Linked DNA regions of Xenopus tropicalis. The protein of the gene in region 1 purifies or fractionates together with the protein of each later gene. This does not show direct contact. Links are inferred from orthologs where the notes say so. Each region holds a gene or a part of one and is shown in the gene's direction. Other genes may lie near its edges. The genes, in order: lrrc59, ybx1 and stau1.

Evidence for each region.
Region 2: the proteins of lrrc59 (region 1) and ybx1 purify together in Homo sapiens (co-immunoprecipitation; 3 studies listed by BioGRID and IntAct, with this or other methods). This does not show direct contact. The link is inferred for Xenopus tropicalis from reciprocal best matches to the Homo sapiens genes LRRC59 and YBX1.
Region 3: the proteins of lrrc59 (region 1) and stau1 purify together in Homo sapiens (affinity purification with mass spectrometry; 3 studies listed by BioGRID). This does not show direct contact. The link is inferred for Xenopus tropicalis from reciprocal best matches to the Homo sapiens genes LRRC59 and STAU1.

Annotation. Positions count from the first base shown.
Region 1 is NC_030686.2:43,884,578-43,888,827, forward strand, and holds the start of lrrc59 (leucine-rich repeat-containing protein 59), read left to right. Parts: upstream 1-1,424; 5' UTR 1,425-1,519; intron 1,520-2,572; 5' UTR 2,573-2,576; coding exon 2,577-2,681; intron 2,682-2,796; coding exon 2,797-2,856; intron 2,857-3,241; coding exon 3,242-3,400; intron 3,401-4,250.
Region 2 is NC_030683.2:94,733,873-94,737,954, reverse strand, and holds the start of ybx1 (nuclease-sensitive element-binding protein 1), read left to right. Parts: upstream 1-1,151; 5' UTR 1,152-1,306; coding exon 1,307-1,406; intron 1,407-2,659; coding exon 2,660-2,723; intron 2,724-3,541; coding exon 3,542-3,575; intron 3,576-3,892; coding exon 3,893-3,982; intron 3,983-4,082. UniProt on the Homo sapiens protein: DNA- and RNA-binding protein involved in various processes, such as translational repression, RNA stabilization, mRNA splicing, DNA repair and transcription regulation.
Region 3 is NC_030686.2:38,163,109-38,166,758, forward strand, and holds part of stau1 (double-stranded RNA-binding protein Staufen homolog 1), read left to right. Parts: coding exon 1-66; intron 67-2,854; coding exon 2,855-2,942; 3' UTR 2,943-3,650. UniProt on the Homo sapiens protein: Binds double-stranded RNA (regardless of the sequence) and tubulin.

The DNA of each region.
Region 1 (4,250 bases):
ATGATTATATATAGGTATCAAGCCATTATTGCATTAGGGGTATCAGGGGCATTGTCTGTAATATGTGAATATATTCATGCTATTTTCTTTTGTTTCATACTATGAAACAAATAAAAAACAAATAAACATTAGATAGCAACCATAATATAACTTAATATACACTGGGGAACCATACTTTTCAGAGCTCTGGAGCCCAAAAAGACAACATTGAACCAGACAGCACTGGGTGGGGGGGGGGGGGGGGGGGGAAGGCTGTCCTGTCCAAAACCCAACAGGTGACATCCCTATGGGGGCTATGATGTGACAGAGCACTAGAGGGGGGCTCAAGGAAAGGAAAAGGTATGATTTAGGGTGAGACAAGGGCTTAGGTGAGAGGGCCAGGAGCTAAATTAGAGATTATTATACCAGCACTGGCCTTGGTGGGTGTTTTACTGGCCTTGGCGGGTAGCAACCCTGCTCCATGTCAGGATATGCCATGTCTAGTCACGACAGTTGGGTTGGAAGGGGGATATTTCACTTCCCCAGACTTACAATTAGACCCTAGATCTACTAGGGCAAATGATCCAACCAACTAGAGAAGGTACAGTCCTAGCAATTAGGTGTCAATAGTCACCCAACACACTGTGTAAGAGCATTGGTGCTTGGCTATAACCAGACTGAGAGCCCACAACCATAACAGGCATTTGGCCAACATGCTGTCATTTTAACCCCCAATAATGACACTGTATGCATGTAGAGTCGAACTGGGCCCCGGGACACCGGGAAAAATCCCTAGTGGGCCCCGGCGGCCCAGAGCCCCGACCCTTGCAGCGCTCCCCCTGCCCGACCGCTCCTGCCCCGACGCGTTACATTTACGTGCTCGGGAAAGGCCGTAGGGTGGGGGCCCTTCAAGTGGTGTTAGGGGGGCCCCTCGGGGGGGAGGCTATGGGCCCTTCACCCCCCAGTCCGACCCTGTATGTATGTATGTATACCTTTATTTATAAAGTGCTACTTATGTACGCAGCGCTGTACAGTAGAATAGATTAATACAAACAGGGGGTTAATAAGATAATAATAGATAAATACACAGTATAACAATAAATACAGATAAATACAAGATACAGTTGCAATAAGTTAAGACTCAAAGACACAAGAGGATGGAGGTCCCTGCCCCGTAGAGCTTACAATCTATATGGGAGGGATATATTACCTGAACTTAAATCAAAGCTGTACTGATTAGTGTAAATCCATCATAGAGGCAGTTTCCCAGCCACATAACGACTTCCTTTGGCCTTAGAGCATGAGGGAATTTGCTAAAGAAACTCTGACTGTGGTACTGAGTTAGTTACATACTGATTATCCGCCACTGGGGGCGCCCTTCGCTTCCAGGCACAACTCTATGGTTCGGCCCGTCTGTCCCCATTCCCCGACTCGTTGGCTGGAATGTTTGAGTCTGACGTGGATCAGGAAGCTGCTGCTCAGGGATCGGAGTGCGGGGAGACACGCAGGCAGCGCAGTGAGGCAGCCGGGAAGGGGAGAGGTAGGTGGGAAGGGGAGAGGTAGGTAGAACGGGGAGAGAATAAGGGGCTGTGGTTCTTGGGGAGGATGGAGGGTATGTTACAGTATGGGGAGGCTGGGGGTGGGAAAGGCAGCTGGGGCAGGAGGGATGGGACCTGGGGGGTTATGGCTGGGTAAGGAGCGGAATTGAGTTCTACTGGGGATTATAGGGATTAAAGCTGGGAGATCAGCACTGAGATAATAATGTATTGAATGCACCTTGTGTGTAACTGATGCCTTTGGTACTTGCTAAGGTTTTTGGGAAATGATGCCTTAGGATAAGTACTGAGCTGTAGGCTTGCTGAGGATCTTGGGAAATTATTCCATAAGATAAGCACTGAGCTATAGCTGCTGTAGGCTGATAGGCTTGCTGGGGATCTTGGGGAAAAAATGCCATACAATAAGTACCGAGTTGTAGGCTGATAGGCTAGCTGGGGATCTTGGGAAATTATGTCATAAGATAAGCATTGAGCTGTAGGCGGATAGGCTAGCCGGGGATCTTGGGAAATTATGCCATAAGATAAGCATTGAGCTGTAGGCGGATAGGCTAGCCGGGGATCTTGGGAAATTATGCCATACAATAAGTACTGAGTTGTAGGCTGATAGGCTAGCTGGGGATCTTGGGAAGTAATGCTGTAGGCTGATAGGCTATCTGATGATCTTGGGAAATTATGCTGTAGGCTGATAGGCTAGCTGGGGATCTTGGGAAATTATGCTATAGGATAAGCACTGAGCTAAAGCTGCTGTAGGCTGATAGGCTAGCTGGGGATCTTGGGAAGTTATGCTGTAGGCTGATAGGCTAGCTGGGGATCTTGGGAAATTATGCTGTAGGCTGATAGGCTAGCTGGGGTCTTGGGAAATTATGCTATAGGATAAGCACTGAGCTGTAGCTGCTGTAGGCTGATAGGCTAGCTGGGGATCTTGGGAAATGATGCCATAAGATAAGCACTGAGCTGTAGGCTGATAGGCTTGCTGGGGATCTTGGGAAATGATGCCATAAGATAAGCACTGAGCTATAGCTGTGGTGTCTTTGCAGCGAAATGGCACGAGCGAACGGAAGATCCCAGAACCTGAGGGACAAATTGGACGGGAATGAGCTGGACCTGAGCCTGAGTGATCTGAGCGAAGTGCCTGTTCGGGACCTGGTGAGAGATTTATTGCCGTCTGTGCCCAGTGTATATGAGCCTGATGGAGCTTGGGCCCCCCATTACATTCAGTTTGCCTCCCCCCGTCTGGTAGTGACCCCTCCTTCTCTTTCAGGTGGCCATTCCCAAGGCGACGGCTCTGGACCTTTCCTGTAACAAGCTGACTTCCTTACCGGTGAGACTCTCATCTGGGTTTAACAGCAAGTGAAATGTTCCGTGTCTGCATTAGGGATGCACCAAACCAGTATCCCCACTTGGGTCCAGTTAACCAGACCGATTCTCAGGGTATTTAGGCTTTAAATAAGTTTAGTATCATGTATCTGGTACTATTTTGAGACAATTTACGTGACCCACCCCTTTAAAGTAACATGGCTCTGAGTCAAATCCTCAAATGAGTGCCCCCCTAAACTGCATGCAGGATTCCTAACCTTCTAAGCTGCTGCATCATCTGCAGGATCTTACTCTTCCCCTTGCAGTTGGTCTCTGTGGCTGTAACTGCGACTCCCTGCATCTCGCCATACTCCCCACAGCCTGAGGCTCATGATCTTCTCTTTCCGCAGGATGATTTCTGCAATCTGAGTTACATAGTGCGACTGGATCTCAGCAAGAATCAGATAGCGCAGCTCCCTTCAGAATTCGGCAGGCTGGTGAACCTGCAGCATCTGGACCTGCTACAGAACCGCATAGTGGCGCTGCCTGTCTCCTTTGCACAGTTGAAGGTGAGGTCTGGTGGGGTGTGAGGGAGGTGCCTGAGCACTGGAGGGGGTAGTGTGAGCCGTTGGCCTTGGCTGAGAGATCTGGGCTACAGTGTGTATTGTAGGCATGATAGAAGGGTGGGGTCAGAGCTCTATTTACAGGGGTTTTATAGGAAAGGGTTGAAGCCAGGCCCAGGTTTGTGGGCAGGCCACAAAGGCCCAGGCATAGGGCAGCAAATATTGGGGGGCAGCATTCTGGCCACATATGTACTGGGCGGGAGATTTTGGCAACTATGTGAAGTAATCATGCTGGAAAGGTGGCAGTAGGTGTGAGTGGTGGGGAGGTGTGAATAGCGGGGGGGGGGTGCAAACAGCTGAGAGGCCGAGGGGCACACAAGGTTTAAATCCGGCCCTGGCTGAAGCACAATTTGCATGTAGTCTGTGGTTATATGAACACTGTGATGAGGCCTGGTGGTGCGAGAGAAAGAAGTGTGTGGATAGTGTAGAGAGCAGTGGGGGCCTCTGGCCTTGGGGGTAGATCTTGCCAGAATAAGGATTGTAGGCAAGGTACTAGAGTGCACACAGTGTGCATAAGATCAGCTGATAAGCGAACATTCTGCATGGCTGCATAACCAAATGTTGTGGTTGCTAGGGTTCAGCTGACCTTAGCAACTGGCAATAAATTGAAAGAGTGTTTGCAAAGGTAACATTTGAATAGGAAGCAATGTGCAGCCCTAGCACAGGATTAAGGCTGCCATACACGGGCCGATTCTAGCTGCTGATATCGGTCCCTTAGACCAATTCCAAGTGAGCGGATCTTAGCGTTTATGGCCACCTTAGATGGTTCGTTGATAGTATAGGAGGAACAAGGGAG
Region 2 (4,082 bases), on another chromosome or scaffold:
CCTGTGCCTTTTCTCCAGCTTGAATGGCTGCCCCCATGGCTACACAGAAGCTTATTTATATAAACTATAGTAGTGTTTCTGAAGCAAACACCCCAGTTTTACCAGCGCAGGGCCACAGTACATTATATTTCAATTACTTTAAAACACTTTCATTTTTTGGTGTTACTGTTCCTTTAATAGACCAGTAATCAGTCAGTGTTGAACCATGAATTGTCAGCTCATACATCATTATTGATCTGACCTAACCAGTCAGAAAGACTAATTCATATTATTTAATTCTCATTTGCTTTTGTGGAGTTTTATTAAAATTATATGAGATAGATTTTAATGTGTCTTAAACTATCACATTTATATTAGTATTTGCGATGTGCATGCTGTTATTGCAGCTATGGAGCATACTGCAAGTTAGGCTGTGCAAGTGTACTGCTGATGTGACTATTCCCGCTATTATTAAAGCCCATTTATAAAACACTAATATACTCTGCTGTGTAATGTATTTGGGAAAATATAAGCAATAAGGCAGAAATTACACCATTGCGAAGAAACAAACAGAAATCAAGACATGAGGTCGGGGGGGCCTGCCCGTTAGACAATCCGAGGATTAGGAAATAAGCAATACGCCATACTTCCATAAAACCTTGGATTTGGACTCAGCGCCATAACAATAGACAGAGTCCGTTGCCTAAGCACAACCCCTTATATGAGTGATCTGGTATCATTACCTTCAGCTCATAAGGGCTGATGTGCCGGGAAACAGCTGAACTAAACACAAGTCAAATATTGAGGTACCTGCCCAATAGTTTATTGCATTTATCCTACCCCCCACACCTTACACTTTATTGATCACTGTTTATATCAGCCTTAGAGCTCAACAGCTACATCCCATCCAATAATGCAGACGCTAGAGGCAGAGACTAATCCCTCCAATCCTGTTATTGACATCTGCCTTAGCCAATAAGATTACAGAAGGAACACATCCAAACAGAGCGCGTCGATTCTTGATTGACAAGCCATTCGACCATACAACTGCAGAGTTTTTTACTAAACCCGTAGACTGACAAGCCAATTGACCAATAGGATAATAGCCAGGGCGGGATGTCTGCGATGATTAACCCGTCTGTAAGGCCATTGCCAGGCAGTTCGATCGGTAGCGGGAGCGGAGAGCGGACAGCAGGGAGCTCGAAAGGCAGCAGCCCCACCGCCGGCCTGAGTTACCATCAACACCCCGGGGGGAAGTTAAAGCGAGCCAACCGCCGGCCCGAGTCACCACCTCCGAAAGCAGCCAACTTACACCATCAAAGACACAATGAGCAGCGAGGTTGAAACACAACAGCAGCAGACAGTCGCATTGGAGGGCAAGGCCGGCCAGGAACCGGCGGCCACCGTGGGGGAGAAGAAGGTCATCGGTAAGTACGATTGAATTAGCATACGAGAGATGCCTCTCGGACACAGGCAGGGCTGGGTATTTGGCGCGTCAGGCTCAATATGACTACTACTCCCAGCATCCCCTGTGCAGTCACGTTGGTTAAGGCGATTACTAGATATTTGCACAAACAGGCGCGGTTATCTGTTTATTTATAGTGTGAGGGAGCGGTTTTCGCTTTTACTATAGGGCGCGGGTGAGTGGCGGTTACACCGACGTGGAGTGTCGTGCCACGCGGAGTTGTTGGTGACGGATCTCTGCCCCCCCCGGCGCCGTGACATCACCCCCCCCCCCGCAGCGCCGTGACATCATCCCTTCCTGTGTCCTGAGAGGAATAGGGCCTGTAACATGTCCGCCGCCGCCTGCGGCCTACACCCCCCCCACCTCCTCTTTTGTATGCCGCCGCGCCTTTGCTGGGTCCCCAGTAGCGCCTCTGGCCTCACGTTTGCTTTGCAAACATACGGGGGAGTGTGAGGGCCGTGATGGCGCTGGGAATTGGCGGCTCCGTGTGTCCCGGCTGCTCGGGTTGCGGCTCTGGCCCGGCTCCAGCCACGTGGTGTGTGAGTAGTTGTGGCACGGAGCTGCTCGTACCGCCTGGGCCTGAGCGGGAGGGGCATGAGAGCCATTTTAGTCTATCTTTGCACTCGGCTTGCTTAGTAGCAGCCTTTATAGCGCTTGGCAATAAACGGGGATTCTGGGAGTTGTAGTTTTTCATTTGAAAAAAAGAATTGACAACACTCTTATGGCCCCAAATAGCAATGTTTGTTTGCTGATGCCTTTAATTGTAATTCCGTGTGTTTATATAGCAGTGAGTGGGAATGCACACAACCAGTTGCATTACTTTCCCTCAGGAAATGTTGCTACCAGGGCCATGGGATAGGGCTTTGTTTTTGTTCCTCTTCCCCCATCCACCCCCATCCATCCTACTCAATGTAATTACTGTATAGCTGTGCCTGGCCCAGTAGCCATTGAAGTTGTATGTCCAGATAGCCATTAAACTAGCAGTGTTTATGTATTGCTTTGGCTTGTATCTCACTGGCTGCTGATCAATAAGTTGCATGTAACTAGTATTTATAATTTCTAATTATTTTTTTTTGTAAAAGTTAGCTTTCCAAACCACCACCCACCCCCTGTGTTTATGGTGCTACTGTGCTGCCAGAAAGTGATTGCTCTATTGTGCATATTAGATTGATCTTGTGCCTCACTCCAAACTAACGATTTTTTATTTTCTTTCAGCAACCAAGGTTTTGGGTACGGTCAAATGGTTTAATGTGCGCAATGGTTACGGCTTCATTAACAGGTGAGTTCATATTTCTGCCCCAACTTAGATTAGTAATTTGGTAAACTTGTTACAGCCTGCCTGACCCTTCGGGGCCATGCACGTGGTACTTCCCATAAATGCTTGTTTTAATATGGTTTAGCAAGTATATATTCCAGGATATGCGGTTAAGCAATACCAGAAGTTACTTAAATTACTTAACACTTGGGGAAGGCATAGTTTAAAAATGTTTTTATAGAGATGGGGAGCTGCTGTATTGCTTGCTTCCTAAGTAGCACTGCCTACCGGTTTCAGCGCTGTACTTCTATGAATGCCTGTGCCAAGAAAATGATCTTTGCCTGTCGCTGTTGTAGAAATTCAGATACACAACAAAAACAGTAATTGCACCCAGTAGCCAGGGCTGGCATGCTTTAATTCAGCTTTCCCTTATCCTTTCGACTGTATCTTAAGATTTTTCTGCTTTTTGAAAGGAAATGTACTTTTTTCACATAAACCAAATAAATCGGTTTGTTAAAAACAATTATATAAGATGGCTTCTTTCCTAAAATGTCAGAAATGAGCTATATGATGTGGGCTTTATGGAGAAAAAAAGGATGCTGGTTGAAATATATTTTCATTTGCCCATTCTTTGTCTAAAGGCAATGCTTTGTGGTTGGTAGAAAAAATGCCTTTCCAGCATTATTCCTATTTTTGTGCTTATGTTGCCTTTAGTGTTTGACCTATACATATAAATTAATTTGCACAGTACAAGCCTTTAATCTATTTTTGTTTTGTTTAGCTTTGTTGTGCTGTGAAAATTTCTACCTTTTGTCGTTAACATTTTGTTTTTATCCTTATAGGAATGACACCAAGGAAGATGTGTTTGTACACCAAGTAAGTATTCCACTTATCTGGGTTTTTTTTACAGATGTCTAGTCCAATCTAGTATAGAAAATGTATTCTATAACTTCTAATATGGTAACTTGTATTTGAGTATAGTGTTGATCAAAGCGGATTGCCTTGGTGTAATAAAAGAATGCATACTGAATAGAAAGTCATGACTGTTCCACAGTTGGATAGGACATTTTCCTACACCTTTTTATATTGCCATGGAACTAGATAGAGCAAAAGCAGATTTAATCAGTTTTCAGCATTTGTTCAGATTTCTTTTAATGTCTTTTTATTTAAAAAAAAAAATATATTTTTTTTAGACTGCCATCAAGAAGAATAACCCTAGGAAGTACCTTCGCAGTGTGGGAGATGGTGAAACTGTTGAGTTTGATGTAGTGGAGGGTGAAAAGGTAAGACTATCAAAAGGGTACGAGGATACGTTTTACACAAGCTACAAGTGTATATTTTTAGTCTTCAACATTTCTGAACTATATAACCTATACCAGAAAT
Region 3 (3,650 bases), about 5.7 Mb from region 1:
ATTGCTGTCTGAGCTGGACCAACAAAACCCAGAGATGCCCAGAACAGGAAATGGACCAATGTCTGTGTGAGTTCTGATTTCTAGTCTCTGATTGGGTAATACACAACCCCTGCTCCTTAAAACAGCCCATATCGGCTGATAATCAAAGGCAGAGAATTGTAGTGGGCGGGCCTGGCAATCTGTAGGGGCTGATGTAAGATACCATAGATCAGGGGTGGCCAAAACGTTGATTGTGGTCCACCAGTCGATCCCCCATGGATTTCTGGTTGACCGCATCGAAGCCGGAAAGTGCGGCGGTTCAACGCATTTATAGGGTATGCGTACGTACGTGGAGAGGGGCCAAAATATGACCGCTGGGGGAAAAGTCTGGGCACCCCTGCCATAGTCTATTCATTGGGCTCTTAGTCCAGACCCAGCAGTGAGGGTGGCAGTTGCCATGCCTGGCTATTTGATTTGCTATCCCTAGCTCTCGGGTAGAGTAATATGCACATTTAAGGGACATGTCAACCCGAAAAATAATTTTTTGCATAATAAAAGAAAACATCATTCTAAGCAACTTTGCAATATACATTCATGACAAATTTGTAATGGTTAAAGATATTTGTATATATAATTGCTATTAGAAGCAGTGTTTGTCCTTTTCTATTCTCTGTCCTGGAGGCTCCGACTCAATAAAACAATGTAGCACAAGGCAGCAGGGTGACTGACCTTTGCAACTTTGTTTAAAAAGTCATAACCAGGAGTTAAGCAAATGCTGTTCCGTTGGAATCTAATCTAGAGAGAGAGAATCTGTATATCAGTACAGGTATCGGACCCCATATCCGGAAACCCGTTATCCAGAAAGCTCCGAATTACAGAAAGCCCGTCTTCCATAGACTCCATTTTAATCAAATAATTCAGAATTTTAAAACTGATTTCCTTTTTCTCTGTAATAATAAAACAGTACCTGTACTTGATCCCAACTAAGATATAATTACCCCTTATTGGGGGCAGAACAGCCCTATTGGGTTTATTTAATGGTTAAATGATTCCCTTTTCTCTGTAATAATAAAACAGTACCTGTACTTGATTCCAACTAAGATATAATTACCCCTTATTGGGGGCAGAACAGCCCTATTGGGTTTATTTAATGGTTAAATGATTCCCTTTTCTCTGTAATAATAAAACAGTACCTGTACTTGATCCCAACTAAGATATAATTACCCCTTATTGGGGGCAGAACAGCCCTATTGGGTTTATTTAATGGTTAAATGATTCCCTTTTCTCTGTAATAATAAAACAGTACCTGTACTTGATTCCAACTAAGATATAATTACCCCTTATTGGGGGCAGAACAGCCCTATTGGGTTTATTTAATGGTTAAATGATTCCCTTTTCTCTGTAATAATAAAACAGTACCTGTACTTGATCCCAACTAAGATATAATTACCCCTTATTGGGGGCAGAACAGCCCTATTGGGTTTATTTAATGGTTAAATGATTCCCTTTTCTCTGTAATAATAAAACAGTACCTGTACTTGATCCCAACTAAGATATAATTACCCCTTATTGGGGCAGAACAGCCCTATTGGGTTTATTTAATGGTTAAATGATTCCCTTTTCTCTGTAATAATAAAACAGTACCTGTACTTGATCCCAACTAAGATATAATTACCCCTTATTGGGGGCAGAACAGCCCTATTGGGTTTATTTAATGGTTAAATGATTCCCTTTTCTCTGTAATAATAAAACAGTACCTGTACTTGATCCCAACTAAGATATAATTACCCCTTATTGGGGGCAGAACAGCCCTATTGGGTTTAATTAATGTTTTATTTATTTTTTAGTAGACTTAGGGGCTGATTTACTAAGACACGAATTCGAATCCGAATTGGAAAAATTCCGTTTGGAAAACGAACATTTTGCGACTTTTTCGTATTTTTTGCGATTTTTTTTCGGCGTCTTTACGACTTTTCGGAAATTATCACGACTTTTTCGTTACCAATACGATTTGCGCGAAAAAACGTGAGTTTTTTCGTAGCCATTACGACTTGCGCGAAAAAATGCGAGTTTTTCGTAGCCATTCCGAAAGTTGCGCAAAATCTGGCGATTTTTTCGTAGCGTTAAAACTTGCGCAAAAAGTCGCGCCTTTTTCGTAGCATTAAAACTTACAAGGCGCGACGTTTCGTGCAAGTTTTAACTCTACGAAAAAATCGCGACTTTTCGCGCAAATTTTAACGCTACGAAAAAATCGCCAGATTTTGCACAACTTTTGGAATGGCTACGAAAAACTCGCGTTTTTTCGCAAAAATCGTATTGGTAACGAAAAAGTCGCGATAATTTCCGAAAAAATCGCAAAATACCGATCATTACGAAAAAAAACGCAATCGGACGCATTCGGCCCGTTCGTGGGTTAGTAAATGTGCCCCTTAAGGTATAGAGATCCAAATTACAGAAAAGATTCCTTATCCAGAATACCCTTGTTTCCGAGCATTCTAGATAACGGGTCCTATACCTGTATATACTTTAAACTTTTCCTATTTTTATATAAGCTACAAATACACCGTAAGCTGTAAATGGAGAGTAGCTGTCCTGTGACCTACATTCTGTTCATAAATACTTCTGTACAGTGTCTGTAGGCCAGGAATGCTGGGAGTTGAAGTTCAGCAGTTGGTGGCTTCCTGTTTGGTTTGGGGTCTGTACCTCAGTGTTGGTTGTTCACACTCACACACACACACACACTTCCAAACAAACAGGGTACCTGGACTGTGTTAGCCCGTGTGTGTGTGGGCCAATCCCTACTGATCGTATGTAATGTTATGATGCAGGCTGCACACTTAACCCTTTCTTTAAACAAGGTTTTGTTCTCCTGCAGATGTGTAAAACCCGAAATGGAAAGTGATCCTCTCCTCAAACCGGCTAACTCAAACACCTTGGGACAAACACTGGACAGTACAGCCTGATACAGGCCTTCCGGCTGAGCCCGATCCTAAAAGCACCGAAGAAAATCAAAACGTCCTCGTCACTTAGAGTGCTTCCACCATCGCCATTTACCTCTCGGCACTGTATAACCAGAGAGCAGGGGTCAGGGTGGCTTTTTAGCTGTTGTGAAGTCTGAACCGTCATTGTCATTGGAGGCTCCCCATAATGCACATACACTTATGGCAGGTATTTGGGTTATGGACGACCTCTGGTTGCACATACCTGCCAATAGTGAATGGGGAGGGGGGGGGGGGCAGACATTCATGAACAGCTAAAGAATCACCCTAAAATGGAACAGTCTCGGTATTACTAATGTTTTTTTGTTTTGTCTAGAGACTCGGTAAATACAATATTAATTGTACCCAGCGGCCTAGAATCCTCAACACATTTCATGTACTGATCAGATCATATCCTCGCGTGTGGTTGTGTATATGTATCTACAATATGTCTTTTTTTTTTTTCCTCTTGTTTTATACCATGCTAGTTATTAAACAATTATGTGCTGTGCCCTACACGGATGGGGAAAGGAAAAACGTTGAATTAGAAAAAAAAAACCATAGTAGTAAAATTTTCATTTTTTAGGCATTTTATTAATTGTATTTTTATTTCTCTTTTGTTTTGTGTATAAATTAAATTGATGAGAGTTTTGTTTGTATGTGAGGCACGCCGGCTATACGGCCGCACTGCGG